Linked DNA regions of Tribolium castaneum. The protein of the gene in region 1 binds, or shares a complex with, the protein of each later gene. Links are inferred from orthologs where the notes say so. Each region holds a gene or a part of one and is shown on either strand. Other genes may lie near its edges.

Region 1 (4,118 bases):
TTTTGTGCCTATTTTCATTTCTACAACAAAAATAGCACTGACGTCGTTTATGTCTGCCCTTACGTATTCAGTAATAATTAGTAAAAAAGTGTCTCATTTTTCAAATAAAATGAGTGTTAAACAGGCGTTCACACACGTAATCTAGTGGTTCGTCCTTCTGTTGTGTTGAAAACAAATGCAATAATGTTGTAATAAAAATATTTATTTGCGAAAATACGAAGTTATAAAAAATAAAAAATCTACTCATTAATTAAATATACATATCAAATTTCGTTCCTCCACAGATAAAACATGTTAAATATATTTTAATACAATCTGGGGCTCCTTGGGTAATTTATTTGTACTTCTAACGGACGGAAACTGTCTTCAATTATTCTAAAAGAATTAAACAACCCCAAAATGCACCACTTTGATTTTGGGTTGCGCTTCCTCGCTCTCCCTCCTCCTCACAGGGTTAAAATCCTTCAAATAATCCTCATTTGGGTGACAAAGCGGCAAACTATCAGCCAACTCTTTCTGCGGATCGGTGAAATGTGGTGGCGGCGGCGGCCTCGCTGGCCGCTTAATCTCCGGCACGATAAACGCCGTCACCGTATCAGAAAACTTAACTTTCGGGGGCACCTTCTTAACCGCCCCCGTTGAGGGCAGCGGCGGCTTAAACACATTTCTGGGAATCCCCAAATTGGGCAACGGGGGCGCTTTAAAATTCGCCGGCACTTGCGGCGCCTTCACGAAAGTGGCTCTCGGGTAGGTCTTCGGTTGGGGGTTATTGAAGTTAGTTGTGAGGTAATTATCGGGGTTTTCGTCACTACTTCCCGAACATTGGGAGCACGAGGACCTGGTGCAGTTCGAGGCCTCGCTGGAGCAGCGACTCAGGAGGGCCGAGGCCTGGGCGCGGGCGGCAGCCGCCATCTCCGTCTCGCCGATTTGCACCGCGATGTAGTGCAAGTCCATGAAGAGGTCATGGTGCCCTAGGTCCACAGCCAAGAGGAAGGCGGTTTCGAACATTTGGGCGCGGACTAACTGGTGGAAAAAGCGACGAGTGAGCGAGAAAATTTGGGTGAAGAAGCGGGAACGGGTCTCGGGGTTCAGGGGCACCGGGGGGCTGTGGAAGCACCCGAGGGCGTCCTGGAGATACTTGGCGGTGTCGTCGGTCATTGGCTGGGAGAGTAAATAAGCGACGATTTTTTGCAACACGTGGAAACTTTCCTCGTTGAATTCCCAGCTTAGGAGAAGCCGAATGGCTTTATCAATTTTACCCATTTTTATGTAACGTTGTGAGAGAGATTTGAACGATAAAGACCGGTCAATGTGAGTGATGAGTAACATGGGGCCTTGCTCCAAAACCACGACTAAGTCTTTTGGGCCCCAACTCACCGAACTGATCGTAAATTGCGAATTGAAATAACCGGATAAGTCAATTAAAGCTGTTGGGGTGCAATCCTCCCCCATTATTTGTGACTTAACGCCGTTCAAAGCCGTGTCAAAATACTGCAATTGCCCCCTTTCATTCAAAACGGTCACAACAGCTCCCAGAGAATTCCAACGTGCGAACTTTGGTATAAACAACCCTTTAACCGTCCGAGTTGACCCCCTGACACGGTCCAATAACGCCAAAGACCCATCAATACAACCAATCAGGAGCCTAGTTTCCTGCTCATTTAAGGCACAGCAACTGACTTGTGTCTGAAGTGGGACCGAAATGACCGAAACCCGTTTCAAATTGGCCCCAACCAGCTCAAAATTGCTCAACTCGACTGAGACAGCCCCCCTGAGAGTCACCTTCTGTTCGATTACGAACAAAGTTCGGCGTATTGTCCGACTGACGATCACTTCAATGGGATCCCCGTCGGTTTTTTTGTACGCTAAGAGTTCAGGCCCCCGGACGCCCACCCAGTACAGGTGTAGATTAGCCCGTTGGTAGTCCTTGCCAAGGGGGCTCCAAGGCTGCGGGTGTTCGGCCTCGCATTTGCCCCAAACGGCAAGCCAGTCGTTGTGGAAGTTCAGGTGGCGTCGAGGGCCCCCTTCGACAATCCAGCCGTCTTTCCAGGAGCCCCCGAAGCCGAGCACGTGGCCGTCATTACAAATGCAGATGATTTGGGGGCCGAGGATAACACCGTCGCATAATATGTTGACTTGGAGTTTGGTGGCGAGGGATTTGTCGAAAGTGAGGCTTGTGAGGTCGCCTGTGGTGATGTCGATGGTGAGGGTGACGACCACCCCAGTTGAGAGCAGGAGTTGGAGGTGGTTGTCGGACCAAGAGAAACAGACGATTTTGTTGTGGAGGAGATACTCCTATTGAAAGAATGAGTGAGAGTGAAAGGGTGAGTGTGTGAGCTAACCTCGAGTTCTTTGAGACGGTCGCGGAGTTTTTGGGGACGTTTGTTGGGCAAGTGCCAGATGACACCTCGTTGGTCGCAGTACTTTTTTTTGCTTTGGTAGCAGAGGGAGTCGCTGGGATCTTTCTTAGAGTAGTATCTGGAATAAGGGTTTTTAGTTCGCTTTATGGGGTTGTGAGGGGTTTGGGTACTTGAATGATCCAAAATCTGGATGTTTTACGATGACGTCTTCTTGGGTGCTCCAGAAATGGATTTCGCTCAAAAGGGTCAACATTTTACGGCCGATTTTTGATTAAATAGTCACTTTTGCAAAATAAATGCTTCTTTTTGAGTCTCATCACTTCATTAATTCATAAATTAAAAAATTCGAACAATAATAATAATACCGATGTGTAAATTCCCCAAATCAGGGAATTTTGATTTATCACATCAGAGTAGCAAAGTGGTTTCAGTCTACATTTATTTATTATTAAGTGTGCTTGGCCCTATTGTAATTTAAATTTTACTTATGATTATCAAAGAAACATACCGTGAAAACGCAACATAAATTTTAAAAATTCAATTAAACTTCGTTGCATTTTATGTTAGCACACCTGGCTAACGCACTAATTTATAATCTGTCAAAGTGACAGGTAACCTCAAATTATTGGTGTTAAATTAACGAAATTTATTGTGAATATCGCTAATTTGGGGAGAGAACCGAAAAGACCTCCTATGAGGGATTTTGGGGTAAAAAAGACGGGTTAAAATCAGCCGTTTTATTTATTTGAATAAACTAAAGGTACAAATAAATGGTCATAACAATAATAAAATAAAATATGCGCAAACAAGTGTTAAGTTCGTTTGAAAATAAGGAAAAAGTCAAAAGCACACTAATAGTTTGTTAATGGAACACATTTGAACGAAAGTCTAACCTACTAAAAATGTAAATATGGAAAGTATGTCAGAAGACCTATTTTATAAAATTGGAAGACAGGCGCCAAAAAATATTGCCAGTAGTGATTACTGCAATAAAAGTACAAAACGATTTGGCACATAGAACCTTAAAAATACATACCAAAGCCAAGAATATTGGCAAAGCATAGAGTATTATTTACTAGATCAGGCAAAACTGGTATTGCTATAAGATATTTAGAATTCTCACATTCTAAACTAACAAAATCAAGTATCGCACTTATTCATTCAATTTCGGAAGACGGCCAAAAATACAATAAAACTCTTTTTGAAAAGTTGGAGAAATTGAATGATAAGAGTAATAGGAAAATAGCTTTGAAACGCACACACATTTTGAAACATTTATGATTGTTTCGGATCTTTATGTACAATAGGAAGAGCAGTATGTATCACGGGAAATAGAAAAAATATATTTACTCTACCCTACTTTCAATGATTATAAACTCAACTTGTAGCAATAGGAAAATTCTAGATGATTTTTTCTTATTCCCTATCACTGATACACGTTTATTGCTTTTCAATGAAATGACCAGATATCAAACACCAAAATGCCCCAACTCAGGATAAATACAGCGAATTTCAGCGCGGTGGAGCATCTAAGACAAATCAACAGCTTAAATATGGAAATAAATAAATAAAACAACAGAATTAGCTAAAATCAATATACATATAAATTACTTCCCCACTTAATGATTAGTTAGCCTACTTTGGTAACAGTGATAAAATTAATTCATTTAGATAAAATTTCAATCAGCGATAAAATCTTGCGGAAATTACTCCTAGAATAAATTAATATTTGGTGATCAACCTGACGCGAAATGTTAC
Region 2 (3,727 bases), about 6.0 Mb from region 1:
TAAAGAGGTTTGCGTTGATGCAACTTTAATTAGCTACTAACTGTCCGAAATCAATTTGGAACTGCGTTTGTTCCTCGTCGTAAATGCTTTATTTCTGTAAATACTGTTAACTTGAATCTTTCGTCTCTTTGCAACTTAATTAACAAAATAAATCTAATTTTAATAGAAGTTCGGAAACCGAAAAAAGTTTCAACTGTAAGCAAAGAGAGTTCACGCTCCAAAAACTTCATTAAATTTTGCATAAAAGTATAATAAATCGTTCACACTAAACGTGGTTGAATAAGTTTCGTCTTAATTGTACGATATCTTTTTTGGCTGCATTTACTCGCTTCACTGAATCGAATTGTAAGATTCGGTCACACCATCTGCTACAACGATTCCCTTCAATCGAAATAATGGAAAGATTCTGTCTTTATTAAAACTGCGGCACTGATAACGATTCTTCATTCGCTTAATAGAGTCAATGTCGCGATGAAACCAATCCAATGCGCTAATAATAAATCTCTCACTTTCAGTTTCATCTTGTTCCAAAAAATTTAGATGGTAATGCCAAGGCTGCACATACTCGTCTCTTTTAAAGTTCACTATTATTACAATTCAACAGTTGTCGCCTCAGTTGCGTGGGCGTCTTAAAATCAATTATACCATCATTAGCAAAAAACTGAGCGTGCAATAATTTCGCAACAAAGTCGTTAGAAGATCGTGAAAGTGTCGCAACACCACTTTTTCACGGCTGAAAATTAGAACTCTCGTAATACAGTCGTCGGAGGGTTCGATAGGGCAAGTTGCGGTTTTTCTGACTCAGCAAGTCCCAAACAATGAAAAAGCGCTCCCCTCGCAGGCGGAATTCTCCCTTCGCCGCCACCAAAATTGCATCGTGCCGACGTTCAGGTTAAGTGAAAACGTGCTTTCGTAAACATATATTTGAAAAATTCACCTTCGAGTCTCCGGTGGTTTGCAAATAGTAAATAATAACAAACATCCATGCCATGGAGAAGAGCAGCAAAACCTTGACGTTCCTCCTCATGGTGTCGGCTTCTCGGTCACAGTGCACTCAGAGTGTCTTTGAGGACCATCAACACCTCCTCGCGTTACATCTACATCCGTTGCCGCCGCAATACTAAAATCGCGGCGACGTTCGACATCGTGTTTTTGCAGCTTCTCCTCGTGCTAGTGAGACTTTCAACCGCTCTCTTTTACTTTCACGCGGGACCGACAAGGACGGTCGATGCCAGCCCCGTCCTCGACGAGTCCGCACGGCGACGCTCTTCGTCTCCTGTTCAATAACCAGAGATTTGTCATGGTGGCCCACAGAGGGCGTCGACTCGCTTCAATCAAAACGCTCCACAGCGAAATTTACGGCCAATAATCGGCCAATTTCAGTGTTTTAAGCGCCTTTCAGGCCCGCAATCGCTGGGTCACCCGGATTTCCGGTGATGTATCAATGTTTACTTGTACAATATTTGCCCTAACCCATGAAAAATGTCGGCACATGTTGTTTGTGTCACCTCGGGGGGTGGTCTGCCCATATTTTCCAGGAAGAAAGGGAATACGGACAGTGTAAATATTCTTAGGTTATGTTGACACCTAACAACTATCTGCTTTCACACCGAATGCCTGATAGTCTTACAACAAATTAAGCTTAAAATATACTTATACTAACAATGACTGAATAAAAAGTACAAAACTAGCTTTTTACAATGTCTTATGTCTTGCCCTATCTAAGCACTTAACTTAACCCTTTCACTACCGATAATGCAGATTAGCAATTTCGGGGATGTCCAAAATTTATTGGCGCCATTTTGCCTTAGCTGCCCTTTTCAACCATTGGGTCCCTAAATGGGGTCCACATGTTTGGCAAATCGCAAAAAATCACCCTTCAAAATACGGTAACTGAAGACTACTCTTTAGCCTGGAAGGAGTACCACGACAGGTACTAATCACAACTACATTTTCTTTGTTTCAAATGGTACTTTCAGCTTGGTTTTGATAGGGATATCAAGTGGATGCACCATCGAGGTGCTCACCAAGACCCTCGACTCGATTTTCAACGCAATCGTGTTAATTGTCGGAATCGAGGAAATCAAGTCGCAGCGAAATATCGAACGGTTTAAGAGAGAATTGCGGGTAAAAACCGCCAACAAAAAGTTAGTTTGTCGTAAAATTTTGTTCCAGATTTGCTACCCTTTGATCGATCGCCTGCTGGATTCTTTAGACTGTGGCGATTCTGGCAGCAGACACTCGTCGGATTTAATCGGACTGGTGGAAACGATTTTATGTCCCGAAAACCACTTGATTCAGGTTTTTGCCGCTCGTTTAATCTACTCGGTAAACAGGAAAGTAATTCCAGATCGTTCTTGACTCGTTTACCGAATGCGTCGATTCCTTATTTAGCTGCGTCCTTATTCATGGCAAAATTGCGGCTGCGACCAACAGCTGGTGGTCGCTGCACCCAGAAGAGATCAAGCTTTTGGCCATTCTGGCCCAGAGCGAGAACACGTCGAGTTCGAAAGACATCCCCGTTTTCCTGCCATACAAAAGCCCAACCGTACGTGGGGTGATTTATTCGTTTCGGAAATAATGGGGGAATTTAATTTCAGGTGGCTTTTCGTTTCGTTTGCTGTACTTTAATTCCGGACATCCAGCTGTGTTGTCTCTGCGGCCCCACTCCCGTGCTCTCGGAGGTGGAATTTTCCGCGACTAATTGTTTCAAGAATTCCGCAGATATTTTAAGTTCCGCCATACAATGCCACCCGCGCAACTTCCACTCGACTTGTCACATCGACGGCGGGATTTTGGGTTTACTGTTGGTGAACACGACTTACGGCAAATACATGATTACGAGAAATCCGCATCAGAATAGTAATAAAAAGAACGCGAGCAGCTCGCATCGCTTGGATATTTTACGAACGTTTTTCTATCAATCGGTTTTAACGTTCCTTGTGCCGAGCGAGGACTCGAATGAAGATGCGGAAATTTCCAATAAAAGTGAAGCGAATGTGGGGCTTGAAACCTACTGGTGCTCGGAGTATCATAAATGCTTCGCAATGAAAATCAGGGATAATATTCTAGCGGTTTTATTCAACTCGTCGATTCCGACGTTCGCAATGCGACTGATTACGGAGAAAACTCTCAAGAATTTGATCTCAGATAAACAAATTTGTTGGTGATGGTTTAATATATTTTTTGCAATATCTAGTCTCTCAATTCCTGGGGTACGGGTGGCGGCGTTGGGGGTGGTTTATTGTTCTTAACTCTGCCAGTGTAACTCCCGAACAACCAAACGGTGTAAGAACGAGCTCGTCCCTGAAACCTACGGCTCTCAAAATGAGCCGTCTGTATTAACCTGAACAAAATTAGAGTCACAACCTGAAAAAAATTATAATAAAACAAGTTTGATTTTGACGGAGTCCTACATACCTCAAGGATAATATAGAGAATTAAATTACCCACAATAATCCATCCAACTGTTTGTTTTTTTTCGCGGATCATTTCGTAACATCCTCTCGTCGAAATGCTCAAATTAAATTCAGGAGTGTACAAATATGCTTTTCCTGTGACTTCGATATTGTGGTGGATACAGGGAGAAAGTGATTTCATAGAACAACAACTAAACGGTGTGTTACCATCAGCAGCAGAACTTAAAAACCAATTTACTAATTAACGATGTTTTTATAATTGTCGCTTTCTACGCTAGATTAGGATACGGGTGATAAATAAGTTTTAA

What was found. Proteins that work in one complex are often made in the same cells at the same time.
Region 2: the proteins of frtz (region 1) and fy are in contact, whole or in part, in a cryo-EM structure (PDB 7Q3D), measured with the Homo sapiens proteins. The link is inferred for Tribolium castaneum from reciprocal best matches to the Homo sapiens genes WDPCP and FUZ. Residues at the interface, in NP_056994.3 of Homo sapiens: Arg55, Ile57, Asn75, Lys78, Leu82, Glu418, Asp419, Arg420, Leu421; in NP_079405.2 of Homo sapiens: His293, Glu372, Glu373, Pro374, Arg379, Gln397, Pro399, Thr400, His401, Gly402, Ser405, Leu406.

Annotation. Positions count from the first base shown.
Region 1 is NC_087402.1:1,546,951-1,551,068, forward strand, and holds frtz (WD repeat-containing and planar cell polarity effector protein fritz), read right to left. Parts: upstream 2,801-4,118; 5' UTR 2,614-2,800; coding exon 2,531-2,613; intron 2,479-2,530; coding exon 2,343-2,478; intron 2,296-2,342; coding exon 385-2,295; 3' UTR 185-384; downstream 1-184. UniProt on the Homo sapiens protein: Probable effector of the planar cell polarity signaling pathway which regulates the septin cytoskeleton in both ciliogenesis and collective cell movements.
Region 2 is NC_087402.1:7,504,281-7,508,007, forward strand, and holds fy (protein fuzzy homolog), read left to right. Parts: upstream 1-1,302; 5' UTR 1,303-1,482; coding exon 1,483-1,560; intron 1,561-1,811; coding exon 1,812-1,933; intron 1,934-1,979; coding exon 1,980-2,127; intron 2,128-2,175; coding exon 2,176-2,301; intron 2,302-2,350; coding exon 2,351-2,548; intron 2,549-2,600; coding exon 2,601-3,170; 3' UTR 3,171-3,194; downstream 3,195-3,727. Other genes in the region: Pgant2 (polypeptide N-acetylgalactosaminyltransferase 2), read right to left, coding at 938-1,027; rod outer segment membrane protein 1-like, read right to left, coding at 3,196-3,369, 3,421-3,640. UniProt on the Homo sapiens protein: Probable planar cell polarity effector involved in cilium biogenesis. May regulate protein and membrane transport to the cilium.